Danio rerio: one gene and its partners. The protein of the gene in region 1 interacts with the protein of each later gene in a pairwise test. Links are inferred from orthologs where the notes say so. Each region holds a gene or a part of one and is shown on either strand. Other genes may lie near its edges.

Region 1 (4,702 bases):
GCTGGCCAATCCTGGAGCACCTTGACCTTCTTTGCTTTCAGGAGCTTTGATGTGGAGGCTGAAGTATGAGAAGGAGCGCTATCCTGCTGAAGAATTTGCCCTCTCCTGTGGTTTGTAATGTAATGGGCAGCACAAATGTGTTGATACCTCAGGCTGTTGATGTTGCCGTCCACTCTGCAGATCTCTTGCACACCCCCATATGAATGTAACCCCAAACCATGACTTTTTTTTTCACCAAAACTGACTGATTTCTTAAGAATCTTGGGTCGATGCTGGTTCCAATAGGTCTTGTGCAGTATTTGTGATGATTGGGATGCAGCTTAACAGATGATTTATCAGAGAAATCGACCTTCTGCCACTTTTCCAATTGATCAACTAGAAGTCAAGCTATTATTTGTTGCTCTAACAACTGGGATTGACAACAAGACTTTGTCAAGTAGTGTAGATTTGTAAGAAACACAAAAAAGTACATTTAATTTTTGCATAATTTACATAATTTTTCATAAAAAACATTCACATGAATAAATGAAAGATTTATCAAAAAATACAGTATCCAAAATTCTTCCACCACATTAAAAAAACTGCTAATATAAGGATTTAAAAGTATTTTAACAGATACAAGTTATGACAATAAAAAAAGAACATTCTGCTCTCATGTGTGTCTGTATGTTTCTGCTTAGACTAAAGCTTATGAAATCTGTCTTCTTAAATGTCAAGATGTTTTGTTGTGGATACCTGTGGATTTGATTGATGAGGTGTGTGAAAGTCCATTGTGCTGTGTGTTCTCCACGCTCTCCAAACTGGACACTATTGACTTTGGCTTGAACTCTTTTTTGGGCCGACGGCTTGCTGTAGATATCCTGCAACATCAGATGCCAAAATATATTACTAACTCAATTGTATATTAAAGTAAATCTTTATTTCGTTCACAAAATACACATAGAATAAAATAAAAGTGTTTGCCTGGCATCCAAAGCAAGGAGATGAAACAAATAATAATAATAATAATAGTAATAATAATAATATTAAAATTGGAACTGTAAGATTCAAATGTTCCAATTACCTTTTCAGCACAGAACATAGATAAAGAGTAGATATAAATATGTCGTATCAGTAATGCTTTTATGAATATAGACTGGGTACTGGATGTTTTCTACTGAATGAGAGGGTGTGTGTGTGTGTGTGTGTGTGTGTGTGTGTGTGTGTGTGTGTGTGTGTGTGTGTGTGTGTGTGTGTGTGTGTGTGTGTGGTTAAAGGCACCTGTTCTGTAGTTTGCTGTCGAGGTCCTTCAGGATCTCCAGAGACTGTCTATGGTATTCTAGCGCTGCCTCAATTAGAGCTGATAACTGACTCACCTGCTCCACCTGCAGGTCAGAGCGGCACAATGCGTTTATACAGGTTATTAGTTAGTCAAAGGCTTATTTACAGTGTGATACAATGCCAGCTTCCTCAAGTATTAAAAATAGAAATAATGAAAAAATAAATAAATAAATAAATATTATAACATATAAACATATATATATATATATATATATATATATATATATATATATATATATATATATATATATATATATATATATATATATATATATATATATATATGAAATGTTAATAATACAAAATACAAAAAAAAAATTATTATACAAATTAAATAGACAAGATTAATATTGATTAATGTATTTCGTAAGCACTTTACAGACATACAGTTGAAGTAATAATACTGTAAATATAGCATTTGGCAAAATATTTATTAAATATGACAATTTCCAATGTAAATTAAGTGTATTTGCTTATTTTTTGTCAATAAAAAAATGTCAATAAAAAAGCTGTATTAATTGATGTCTTTTGATTATTTATATTTGATACTGTAACTCTCTGAATAATATGTATCAATAAAACTGTTAGACTTATTTACATACCCCTCACTGCATACCATCAAGGTTTAGCATGCACTTTAATGCACTTTAACCAGCAGCTAGATCTCTGCAACTCTCACATGGTCGCCCACTGAAGCTAATTAGGGCTGCGCCCAGTCAGTACCTGGATGGGAGACCACATTAGAAAGCTAGGTTGCTGCTGGAAGTGGTGTTAGTGGAAACAGCAGAGGTCTGAGTGGGTCCTAACGCCCCAGTATAGTGAAGGGGACTCTATACTGCTCAGTGAGCGCCGTTTTTCGGATGAGACAATAAACCTAGGTCCTGACTCTCTGTGGTCATTAAAAATTCTTCAAATGTTTCCTTCGAAAAGAGACAATTTTGCCCACTGGCCTGTCCATCATGGCCTCCTAACAATCCCCATATCATAATTGGCTTCATCACTCTGCCGTCTCTCCATCAATCAGTTGATGTGTGGTGTGTGATCTGGCACAATATGTAAATGTCCTCTAAATGTGTGTAAAGCACTTTGAGCGTCTAGAAAAGCGTTATATAAATGTAAGGAATTCTAATTAACCAAATCCTTACCTAAAACAATATTGCCTACAATATTTTCCAGCAACAGTCAAACTACGTGTACACCTTTTTGACTGTGTACTTGTCTATCTGTGCCCACATGTGTGTTTTTCTTGACGCATTTATTGTCCTTCATGTATTAATTGTCTTTTATGTATTACTGTTAACATTGCTAACTGTATATTGTTTTGTTTCTTAGAGCATATTGTTGTATTGTGCACTGTCTGGAGCCAGCAACAAAGCTTTTCACTCATCATAGTACACATGCTGCTGTTGATGTGACAAAAAAGTAATTTGATTCGTTTTAATTTGATTTGATTTTGAAACAAAGTATTATACTTGTATTGAATTGTTTTGGACCCCTCATAGTCTTAATTTGTTTAAAGTGTACTACACTGAATGGCATTTTAGCGAATGTAGGTACATCATGGTAAAAATGGTACTATATGATAGTTTATTCCAATAAAAGATTAATTAAGAAGAACACAGTTAAACTTACATTAAAAAAGCTGTATTAATTGATGTCTTGAGATTCTTTATATATGATACTGTACCTCTCTGACTAACATGCATCAATAAAACTGAGTTAAACTAAAAAGAAAGCTGGATTATACTTGTATCGCATCGTTTTGACCCCTCATAAACTGCCTCTTACATCGTTCTCCAGAAAGTTGAACATGCTCCTCTCGGCGAGCTCTTTGGACTCCTCAAACTTCTCCACGGCCTGTTTGATCTCCTCATCGGGAATCTTGCCCTGACGCTTCTTCTTGTAGTCAAAGTCTAACCGTCGACCCTCCAGCTTCTTTAGATGATGCTGTCGAGAAACACACAAAGACATTCTTACATTACGCAATCAGCCAAGAAAGATAATCTACTGACCGATAATGCTAACCATACAACAATATTGATCAATTAATCAGAAGAGCTATTAATCATTAAGCTTTAAATTCCTGTGAAGTGCTTAGAAATGTGCAGTTTTGTTCTATGTGACTGACATGGCTAAAACTAATGATAGGAAGACTCAGCCCTTTGAGTTTCGTTCAGTGAGATGAACGAATCTTTGAGTCATTTCGTACAATTTGCTGTAATATTATTAAAATGTTACAAGTTGCTTCCAAACACATCCACAACTAGCCCAAGCATTGATCACACTACAAACAAGCCATATCTAGAATGCTTTTGTCTATGATTAGCTCAGCTCACCTCTTCTGACATGTCTACAAAATTGAGTCGTTTGTTCACGAGAGATAGACAGTCCCATAAAAGCTTAACCAATGCACACAATCTGAGCCAAAAGGAGCTATGATTAGTTCACCATTCAAATCTTCGGGTTTTTGAGTCGTTTGTTCATTACGACAGCACGTAAAGAGATGAATGATTAAAACCGAGCACTGGAAAAATTAAAGGATCAAATCTTTTTCCAGCTTTGACTACATATGATTGGCTTCTGTCTTTCACACGATGAATGAACGACTCAAACCTGAGGACTCAAGAAATGAACGAAACAAATCTTTTTCCAGCTCTGACTGCAAATGATTGGCTTGTCTTTCACACAATGAACAACGTCTCAAACCTGAGGACTCGAGAGATGAATGGATCAAATCTTTTTCCGGCTTTGACTACATTTGATTGGCTTCTGTCTTTCATGCAATGAACGAATGACTCAAACCTGAGAACTCGAGTAATGAAAGAAACAAATCTTTTTCCAGCTCTGACTGCAAATGATTGGCTTCTGTCTTTCATACAATGAACAAACGTCTCAAACCGAACACTCGAGAAATGAACGAATCAAATATTTTTCCGGCTTTGACTATATATGATTGACTTCTGTCTTTCACATGATAAACAAACGACTCAAACCTGAGGACTTGAGAAATGAACGGATCAAATTGTTTCCAGCTCTAACAGAATATGATTGGCTTTTGCCTTTCATATGATGAACGAACAACTCAAACCGAGGACTCAAGAAATGAACGGAGCAAATCTTTTTCTGGCTTAGGATTGACTTCTGTCTTTCACACGATGAATGAACACCTCAAACCTGAGGACTCGAGAAATGAACGAATCAAATCTTTTTCTGACTTTGACTGCATATGGTTGGCTTTTGTCATTCACATGAACAAACGACTCAAACCAAGGAATCAAGAAATGAATGGATCAAATCTTTTTCTAGCTTTGACTACATATGACTGGCTTCTGTCTTTCACATGATAAACGTACGACAAACCGAGGACTCGAGAAATGAACGG
Region 2 (5,492 bases), on another chromosome or scaffold:
ATGTGACGTGACGTGTTCAATCATTCATTTTCTTTTTGGCTTAGTCCCTTTATTAATCTGGGGTCACCACAGTGGAATGAACCGCCAAATTATCCAGCACATGTTTTACGCAGCGGATGCCCTTCCAGCCGCAACCCATCTCTGGGATGCCATCCATACACACTCATACACTACGGACAATTTAGTCTACCCAATTCACCTGCACTTTATGTCTTTGGACTGTGGGGGAAACCGGAGCACCTGGAATGAACCGCCAATTTATCCATCATATGTTTTACACAGCGGATGCCCTTCCAACTGCAACCCAGTACTGGAAAACACCCATACACACTCATTCACACTCATACACTACGGCCAATTTAGTTTATTCAATTCACCTATAGCGCATGTCTTTAGATTGTAGGGGAAACCGGAGCACCCAGAGGAAACTCAAGACAACACGAGGAGAACATGCAAACTCCGCACAGAAATGCAAACTGATCCAACAGAGACATGAATCAGCAACTTTCTTGCTGTGAGGCAACAGTGCTAACCACTGAGCCACTGCGCCATCCTGGATGCATTCATGATAGAAAAAACTCATACACCTCCAGGTTGCCTTTTGAGGTTGATTAAATCTGAATAGAAGTGAATTTCGAGGACTTCCTATGAGGTTAAAATTGTTCAGAAAGCATTATCATTTTAAGGGGGGGAAAATTCAATTCATCTTTATTTCAATAGCACTTTTGCAATGTAGATTGTGTCAACGCAGGTTAACATAGACGATCATAGTAAATTGAAACTGTCAGTCCAGTTTTCAGAGTTTAAGTTCAGTTCAGTGTGGTTTAATTTTCACTGCTGAAAGTCAAAACATTGAAGAGCACATCCATCGATGCGCAGCTCTAGGGTCCCAAACCATGCAAGCCAGTGGCGAGGAACAAACTTCACCAATTTGCGAGAGTGAGGAAAAAAAAAACCTAGAGGGAAACCTGGCTCAGGTGGGCACGACCATTTCTTCTATTACCAATGTCTTGTGCAGAGCTGCAGTCTAGGCACCGCTAGGCACCGATGGACGTCCATCGTGGAGAAGCTGCAGATGGGAGAGGTCACCGGCTGGTGTACAGGCTGGGCCACAGGATCAATGCGGAGACTCGTCTGTCTGTCACTGGGGTCTTACAGGAATCAGTCTCATGCTCTTCACTCCTCCAAGATCATCACAGCAGCTGCTCAGGACACGGTCTGGTCCAGGATTATGGAAACCTTGAGAATGATTAAAAAAGACTAACCAAAATGGAAAATGGTTCATATTTCATCAATCGTGGCAACAGACAGTTAACATTGGCTCAGGTTAAATTTGTTGGACTTTACCCTACACCCCCAGAGTCAAAGATTGGTCATATGCTTCAAATAAGCTCAAATCAACTTAATGAATCAAATGGATAAAGCAGATATGAGGTTAAACACACAAACAAAAGTTCATATATTTGATCAAAACAGGATTAATGGATAAAACAAAGTTAAAAAACATCTTAAATCCTTGAAAATATATCAGTACAATGAAAAGCTGGATATAATTAGTGAGTATAAACAACTCCAGTGAAATACCAAACTAGCCTAACGTAAAATAAAAAATGAAATATGCAACTACAATTTCAATATATAATAGATGTGCAAACAAAATAGAAATGGATTATATTTTATATATTATTTTAAAAATTTTACTTTTAATACTTTTGAATGATTTTTGTATGTTATTGTTGATGATAATATATAGGTTAATGTGGAATACAAATAAATATAATAACATATATATTTTTATGAACAACTGTCCCCATATTTGCAAGTAATTCAGTTATATCCACGAAGAAATATAAATGAGGAACATCCCGCTTTAATTTCAGTCAGGCAGATCTTCAGCCGCCGCTGCTAACATTTTCCCAGCGTTCCTTGCGAGCGGCCTTTTCCTCCATTTTTGAGATAGAATCAGGTGAGCGTTTAACAGCTCGACTTTTAAAATGTGATGTTTTAGCCTCATCTGATGTAAACTAAACCACGATTTACACTAATATAGATGAACACATTAATTAAGTCCATATACAGATGATTTCGCCTCTGTGGGACGTAAGATGCTTTGGATTTGAAACGGATTGTATGGTCCACTCGGCTCCAGCTAAACCGAGACCCGGAGCTCATTTCTGCCTTTCGCAAACGTGTTATTAAAGTATACTTTTAAGCTTGAGTTTTGTAGAACATTTACATGTCTAATTTCCTTATTTCTAGTAAGTAATAATAACCATGAAGCAAGTAAGTTTGTGTAAGAACGTGTTAGCATTTAGCATAAACATGCAGCAGCTCCGACATTACTTTGAATGCAGCCAGCACAAATGTATTTAAGACACAACGAGCTCACATTTTTGATCCTCACACTTAAATGTGTTCGTATTGTTTTGTTATTTAGGTTTGTTAGCCTGGTCAAAGGATCATCATGCCCGGAAGGTAAGACTCGAAAAGCTGTCAGTGTTGTAAATTTGAGTTGATGGAGAAATGTTCACAAACTTTATCAAGCGTTAATCTTTTGTCTATTGCTCAGCCACTTATTTAATGTGAATTGTAATCAATGCACAATTTTTGAAGAAGATATGGAGTCTTTCGAACTGATTATTTAGGTTTATTTTATATAAGTTAAAGTGAGATGACATCTATTAGCTAAGTTAAATGCCTGTCATACCTGACTTATTTAAATCTATAAAACAGGGATCATCAGACTTGTTCCTGGAGGGCCGGTGTCCTGCAGATTTTAGCTCCAGCCCTAATCAAACACACCTGAACAAGCCAATCAAGGTCTTACTAGGTATACTTGAAACACCCAGGCAGGTGTGTTGAGGCAAGTTGGAGCTGAACTCTGCAGGGCACCGGACCTCCAGGAACGAGATTGGTGACCCTTGTTATAAAGGAATTGTGATGTTGGAATTTGAGGTAAAGTTGGTTTATATTTGCACCTTTAGACTTTCGCCACATTAATATTCTTAATATCCTATTCTTAATGCAACCTCTTTCAGCAGAAGTATTGTTTGCAAATTCTAAACAGGGAAATCATTACCAGGCAATGACTGTCAAAGGAAATTGTTCATGGTCAATTTAATAGTGCTAATGTTGTTTTGAAGTCTTGCAAACAATATCAGTTGACTGAATATTCAAAGTAGTGTGGTAAACGTATAGGGAGCATGTCACAAGTTGTCACTGTTCAAAAATGAACGAATGTGTAAATATAAAACTAACTTTACCACAATTAGAATTTTTAGGTTGATGGTATTGTGGTGTTGGCAAATTACGCTATTACATTTTCAAATATATTTCTATAAATCGCTTAAGCTTATGCATCATTAAAAGGTCTAACTAATCTGTTTGATATTGTTTTGAAAAATAAACCCCTTTATTTTAGTTGTACATTTTTTTCTGATATTTTTATTTTATTTTATGCTGATTTTTACATTTTGGAGTTCTATTAAGATTTTTCTAATTGTTAGTTGGTGTAATGTTCTTTCAACCTTAAAAAAAACAGGTAAATTTGGTTTTCTATTTGCACGTGCGGACTTTTTGATAATATAATTTCAGAAAAGTATTCTTTGTAAACTCTAAATAGGGAAATCATATAAGCAGCCAATGACTGTCAAAGTACAACGTTGTTCACAGTCAATTAAACAGTGCTGATGTTGTTTTGAAGTCATACTTGCATACGATTTCAGACCAAATATTTAGTAGCGTTGTTCACAATATAGGGACTCTGCCACAAGTTGTCACTGAACAAATATGTGACTAAAACCAACTTTACCTCATTTTGAATTTTTAGGTTCATGATATTGTGATGTTGGCCAATTACTTGGTTAATAAGCGACTCTCTTTTTCAACAAGATTTTTTCAAATCCCTGAAGCTTATGGATCATAGCCCATAGCTAATCTTTTGAAGGTCTTTTTTGAGGAGTGAGCCCCTTTATTTTGATTTTGTACTGTTATAATTTAATTTACCTTGTTGTTTGTACTTTTTGGAAATCCATTAAGATTTTTTTAACTATTGTTTCTAGGTATTATCTTTCAACCGTAAAAAACATTGAGGTGAAGTTGATTTATATTCACACATGCTGACTTTCTCTTTAGTAATAACATTTCAGAAAAATATTCCTTGCAAATTCTAAATCATATTATCAGCCAGTGACTATTAAAGTACAACATTTAGTCAATTAAACAGTGCTGATTTTGTTTTGAAGTCATACTTGCATGCAATATTACACTCAATATTCAAAGTAGTGTGGTAAACAGTATAGGGACTGTGCCACAAGTTAAATTTTTGGGTTGATGATATTGTGGTGTTGGCCAATAACTTGATTCATAAACCACTTTTTTACTTTCTAAAAGATTTCTTTAAGTCCCTAATGCTTTTGTGTCATTAAAAGCCCCATAACTAATCTATTGAAGGTCTTTTATTGAAAAGTGAGCCCCTTTATTTTGTTTTTGCACTTTGTTATAATTTATTTAATTTGCTTTGTTTTTTTTTCATGCTGATTTGTACTTTTTGGAAATCTATTAAGATTTTTCTAGCTGTTGTTTCTTGGTATTATTTTTCAACCATAAAAACATATTGAGGTAAAGTTGGTTTTGTATTCGCACGTGCTGACTTTCTCTTTGGTAATATTATTTCAGATGAGTACAATGTTGTTCAAGTTGTTTTTTACATGCTATTTCCGACTGAATATTCAAAGTAGCTCAATAAATAATAAAGGAACTGTGTCAAGTTGTCACTGAATGAACGTGCGAGTATGAAGCCAACTTTACCTTAAATTATACTTTAACATGGCTGAAAATGATCAAACTGTCTGTTTTTAGGCTGTGGAGCAAGGCCATCTTTGCTGGCTACAAGCGTGGCCTGAGGAACCAGCGTGAGCACACAGCTCTGCTAAAGTTAGAGGGAGTTTACAACCGTGGCGAGGTCGACTTCTACCTGGGCAAACGCTGTGCCTACGTCTACAAGGCCAAAAAGTAAGTGAATGACACTGCTGTGTGTTTATGGGACAAGTAGCATGAGTGAGGAAAATTTTGTGCTGGTGTCCTGACATTTTATCCTACCCATCAGATTATGTTGCCCATACTGTATTTGAATGGTTCTGATATTGGGGTTAGGGATTAGGTAGGTTAGGGCGATATTACAGCTTCATATCACACTACTCCATATTAAAATTTACACTTGTAGCAAAGTCTGATAGGTAGCATATTGATTTTTCTACCTACTTTTTGAAGGGGAGGTTGGACAGTCTGACAACGTTGGACAAATTGACAGAACACTAGAACAAGACTGACAGTATGATAATCTTCATATATCAAAAATCTATCTTTAAAAATTATCTTTAAAGCTTCTTTTAAATTTCTGAAAAAACAGCAACCATTTTCCCTCGCATTGAACACAATATATTTTAAGAAACCTTACAAATATTTTGAAACAGTAAATGGCTAACATGGCT
Region 3 (5,427 bases), on another chromosome or scaffold:
AGGTTCTACACTCTTCCTGTGTGCAGCATCCAAGACAATGTCACACTGCAAATGAAGAGCCCACGACAATAAAAAAAATGGACATATGTCACCTATGTCCGAACTAGAATTACATTTTTCTTGTGCTTAACAGTGATAGAAATGCTTAACATCAGCAATACAAAGTGGTATCCTTACCTCTGGGCCATATGTTTTAAAAACCCCTTCATAGATCAGGCCATTTTTAACCTTAAGTTCACATTTGGTTCCCTGTTGAGTGGTGAACCAGAAAACGAAATTTCAGTAGGAGTGTATTTGTTGTGCTTTGGTAAAACTGATTAAAAAAAGAATATAATTACAGCTGTGCATTTATACTTACCACAACTGAGGTCAAAACATGAACCATCCTCATGTTTGCATAAACTCCATTGAAGGCCACCTAAAAAAGAACAATCAACAACATTTCTGCCTGAGGTAAAGAGATATACAATTTACAAGTATCTATATTTTAATTGGCTGAGCAGCTTTCAATGTGCTGATACAGTGCTCAGCATATACAAGTACACCCCTCAAAAATCTATCTTTTATGTTCATATTTTAACAGGAAGCTATACAATATTATATTTGTGCCATTAGTCAGTACTGAAGCCAAATCTGGAGTTTATCTAACAAAATAACTTACGATGAAGGCCCAAAAAACTAGTACACCCACATATATCTGTTATAGAAAAATATTAAACAAAAATTTAAAATGAGGAAAAAACAAGAAGCAAAAATTTAAAAATTAAGTTGAAAATTTGTAGGTTGTAATTTTTTTGCTTGATTAAATTCAAGTAAAATATCGGGAAAAAAATACAACCTACAAATTTATTAATTGTATTATTTCTAAATACTCTATACTTCTAAATATGTCTGGTGACTAAAATATAACTTTAATAAATACATCTGTTTAATAAACCTGTTTTGTTTAAATGCACCAAACTACATTGCCTATATTTACTGAGAAATGGATAAAAATATTTATTTTCGAAACGGGGTGTACTCAATTAAGCTGAGCACTGTATATATGATTCAACAGGGAATATAAATTTGTATGCGAATCAATTTAATAAATTTACACTATGAATAAATGAAAAAAAGAAAAGCCGAAACTCACTGCAGTAGAGGGTCCTTTGGCATTGTTGCGTCCTCTGTTGGGAGGAGAGAAAACAGCATGACTGAGAAGTTTTATAACAGTTGAACTATAACCATATGCATACACAGAAAATCTTTGACATGCTGTACACACGGTTTAAAGAGCAAAAAAAGTCACACACTCCTACGAACACAAATTCAAGTGATTCCAGTAGGGTTATCGATTGCACATGTACTGGCAAACACTCAAAGCTGTAATGACAAAGGAGTGACAAATAATCATATGCTTCATGCAATTCATTGTGCAAAGAAGCACTTATGTAGTTCCCAAACAACAGACTCTAAAAAGAAAATCTGCATTTTACTGACAGTACGTGACTCATATCCACTAACAGCCATATACCTCAAACATATGACAGATTCTGAATTGTAAAGCTTTCAATGTGTTGGACAAAATTTCAACAAGATCTCTAATGTGCAGCAAAATAAGTTCAGTGCTCAAAGATTAGGCAAAAACTATCAGCATCTAGTACATTAAAATACATTAGTAAGATAAAAGCTGTGAATGACAATTATTTTTCAACAGCCAGGCTGCAAATCAAGTGCTGCATTACAGGCAGTGAAAGGCTCCACTGCACCACTCAAGATTCCCACAATCTTGTACAAGTCATATCACTCTTGTTGTTTTGCGTAAACAATAATCACATTTTCCCCATGCAGTGTGCAACTATGTGATGCCAATTCTCAGCTGTTAGATTAAAAGTTTCCACTGTTAATTTCTTCATTCATGACAGCTCAACACAAACCACGACAATAACATTCGTCTGTCACACCTCTACACAACATACTTACTCAAACGTCATTATGCAAGGACAGACTTATGCATGCAACCTCTTGTAAACGTCAAGGTTGAGAGTGCAGCTCTCTGACTTTCCACTCTACTAAGCGCTTGTCCTCGTGAGCGCGCGCGCCGCCCCTCATCGGAAATGCACGCGACTGACAGATAGTTCCAACATGAAGGATCAATCGAAAAGTAACGGGAAACACGCAGATTCGACCTAGTGGCCCTCAGCTAACGGAATTCAAGAAATCTAAATCGGACGCTGAGTTAATGTCATTGTCAATAGTCAAACAGAGAGCTAACATGTGACATCTCATAATGGATGATGAATTCCCAAAACATCGATTCAGGGGCACCTCAGAAGAGGTTACAAATCAGCTGACGGGAAGATAAAAGCATAAAACTAGGTAACGTTATCTGTAGCAAACAACCCTTTTTTGTTTGGACTGACACAAATCAGAAGCAATTGGTAAAACGTTGTAGAAAAACTATGATCTCTCGATTACATAATGACCAAAAACCTGAATGATGTTAATCTACAAAACATACTTTAAATCCTGTTAAATTAGACAGATTTCTGACAGTATGAGCAGATAAATGTTTGCTACAGTAGTTAGCAGGCTAACACTTGCTTCTATACCCACTGTAACGTTATGACTCTCAGATTATTTCTTTGTAAGTGACTAAAATGTCAAACACGTTCAATCCTATAACAGATTCCGACACGATACAAAAGCATCTGTCCTGGGAAAAGCTGGCACAGCCATATCCCACCGGCAAAGACGCACAATTCATCCTGAACGTGACCAGCACCCACAGCAGACAACCCGCCCCTCTCGAAATATACACGAACATGTTGTCCGCTATCAGCTGTTATTTTATAACCGCAGTAGTTTGCGTCCATTAACCTGTGAATCCCTGTCCTGTGAACTTGGCCTATATCGGCCTACTTGCGCTCTATCCTGATCACTGCAACTCCACAACCTGCGTTTTTAAACTACGACACTAGTGCAGGCATGCCGCATTCCCGTGTTGGTTCACGCTCGTCGGTCCATCCGAATTAAAAGCCTGTTATGCAGATTGGTCACCCACCTGCCCATGTTCTGGCGTCCGACGCCTCCTCCTGCTCCCCCGGTACCGGAGGCCGCAGCGGCTCCGCTGTTGCTTCCGCCGGGTTTGCGATTACCACCGGCCTGCGGCTTCATGGACATGATGATCCCATAAACGACAGCTTGAGCAGAGTTGTCTGACTGTTTGGAAAAAAAACGTTTGATGCCGCGGACGAGAGCGGAAAATGCTATTTGACGTGTTAGCTGACAGTTGATCTAGTGACAGCCAACGTGTAAAACTGCTCCTCCAGTTACTCGAGTCTCCACTGACGCTGCCTGCTACTTCAGCTAGCTCTGCTGATTAATTCCTCCTAAACAGAGACAATTCAGCCCGTTTTAAAAGCAAAGCGCGGACGACCCATATGTTTTAGATGTCTACAAAAATACCAACCCGGTAATTTCGCTATTTTGTTATTTTTAGTGCGGTATTTTCAGTGATATACACAGTTCACGCGGGGCTTCAGCACTGACCGATAGACCTAAACAGTCTGAAAAGCCACAAAAAGTGGCGGAAGGATATATACACATCCCAGGAATGTGTGTACTCCTATTGATGGTTTTATTGGTTCCAGAAGAAATGATCGTCAATAGTTATTGTAAATATTCTAAGAACGTAATACACTATTCAGATAATATTAGAAATGGATGAATGTTAGATTTGAGGAATGATGCGCATATGTCGAGCGCACTATTTTCAGAAGATGCACTGATCACTTTGTGCGTGTGTGCTTTGGCGCTAGACCAGGTGACTGGTGGTGAAATATATACAGTTAAATTCTTCAAGCTCTATTTGGCCTAGTTGTTCTGATTAGTTTTATTTCTTCGAGTTTAATATTTAAAACAGTAATCTAATTAATATACACTATTTTACTCTCTGCTTTGAGATTTTAAGCAATTATTAAATAAAGCGTTATCCTCATGTAACCCTTGATCTAAATATGGTCAACTAAACAATGTTTTTCCATTGACTCATTTTCCTCTTTGTGTATGTTTTAGTTTTTTTTTTTTTTGTGATTTAAAATATGTAATTAACTTGAAATTACATGAATAGTTCATCCAAAAATAAAAATTTACTCAAAATTCACTCGCCCTCATTTGGTTTCAAACCTTCAGGAAAAGAAGATATTTTGAAGAAAGCTAAAAATCTGTAACGATTAACTTCAATAGTGGAAAAAGAAAATAGAAGTCAATGGTTTTAACCTGAATGCACAAATACTCATAAACTTGTCATATGTGGACCTAAATAATTTAGATAAGAAAAAAAAAGGAAAAATGCCTATAAATCTTACACAATAAAGTTGATAATGTAAAAATGTAGATTCTTTGTACAGGTCTGTAGCCAGGGTGCTTCGGGTGGTTCGAAAGAAAACTGTAAATAACGTACAGTTTAAATGCACATGGTAAAATAGTATAGTGAACATTTCTGACAAAATTAAAGGAAATATTTTTGTTCCATCAAAGATTGTGGTTTTGATGACCATCCGAAAAGCTAATCCAACAAAGATTAGTGCTTGAAAATGTCACTTAAAATGCCATATTTGAACCTTATAATTTATTAGAAATTAAATAACTGTAAAAAGGTCCACAGAACCACCATTTCAATAGTCTGCTTAAGGGCCTGTTGTTCTGTGAATTGGTTTAACGAAATACTTTTATTTAACAAAAGTACATTAATGCTGTTTTTTTTCAACTCATTAAAGACAACTAAATATGTTTCGGTTTCCTTAAAAAATATCAAGCAGCACAGTCAGCATTGGCGTTTCCTCTAAAATCAGTGGCTCAGAGGTTCTTAGAAAATAACATTAAAATAAAAATTTTAAAAATCAGGTTATATAGTCCATCATTATTTAGCTAATAATGTTTATGGCAAGATTTAAAAAAATGAAATGTAGAAACTGTATTGTGTGATCATATTTTAAATAAAAAATCTTATGAACCCTGTATGCTCTCAGAGGGGTGAAGTCTAGATAGGATTTAACAATTATTGAAAATTTTAATAAAAAAATATAAATAATAGCCTAACTTGTGAACTTCTCGTCAACAACCGCTCTCAGGCTGTTGATTACCCCCACGTGACCGTATCCTAGCAACGGGATGCGTGGGTAGTTACACCGGATAAATAAACGACAACTTCATCGTTTCTTCTGTGCGAGACATTTGTGTTTGTACGATTAAAAGTATGGTTAACGTTATATTTGTGTTTACGAATTACTCAATTAAGACTTTTTTAAACAAATCTTTGGCATAACTTAGGGGTGTTTCGACGCCACGGAGACAGGACTGTCGCAAAAAGAGACTGGCTTTTGCTTTTACAACTCATAATGTCAACGGAAAACGGAAAGTCTTCAGAAGCTGAAGACACAG

What was found.
Region 2: the proteins of sh3gl3a (region 1) and rpl35a interact in a two-hybrid assay, tested with the Homo sapiens proteins (2 studies listed by BioGRID and IntAct). The link is inferred for Danio rerio from reciprocal best matches to the Homo sapiens genes SH3GL3 and RPL35A.
Region 3: the proteins of sh3gl3a (region 1) and atxn2 interact in binary tests that used the Homo sapiens proteins (3 or more experiments, as listed by UniProt). The link is inferred for Danio rerio from reciprocal best matches to the Homo sapiens genes SH3GL3 and ATXN2.

The regions. Positions count from the first base shown.
Region 1 is NC_133182.1:12,818,073-12,822,774, forward strand, and holds part of sh3gl3a (endophilin-A3a), read right to left. Parts: intron 3,268-4,702; coding exon 3,109-3,267; intron 1,365-3,108; coding exon 1,261-1,364; intron 861-1,260; coding exon 736-860; intron 1-735. UniProt on the Homo sapiens protein: Implicated in endocytosis. May recruit other proteins to membranes with high curvature.
Region 2 is NC_133193.1:48,778,407-48,783,898, forward strand, and holds the start of rpl35a (large ribosomal subunit protein eL33), read left to right. Parts: upstream 1-1,939; 5' UTR 1,940-1,966; intron 1,967-2,437; 5' UTR 2,438-2,464; coding exon 2,465-2,475; intron 2,476-4,860; coding exon 4,861-5,013; intron 5,014-5,492.
Region 3 is NC_133180.1:42,591,013-42,596,439, forward strand, and holds the start of atxn2 (ataxin-2), read right to left. Parts: upstream 3,554-5,427; 5' UTR 3,166-3,553; coding exon 3,047-3,165; intron 1,170-3,046; coding exon 1,136-1,169; intron 419-1,135; coding exon 359-418; intron 250-358; coding exon 178-249; intron 46-177; coding exon 1-45. Other genes in the region: cfap251 (cilia- and flagella-associated protein 251), read left to right, coding at 5,385-5,427. UniProt on the Homo sapiens protein: Involved in EGFR trafficking, acting as negative regulator of endocytic EGFR internalization at the plasma membrane.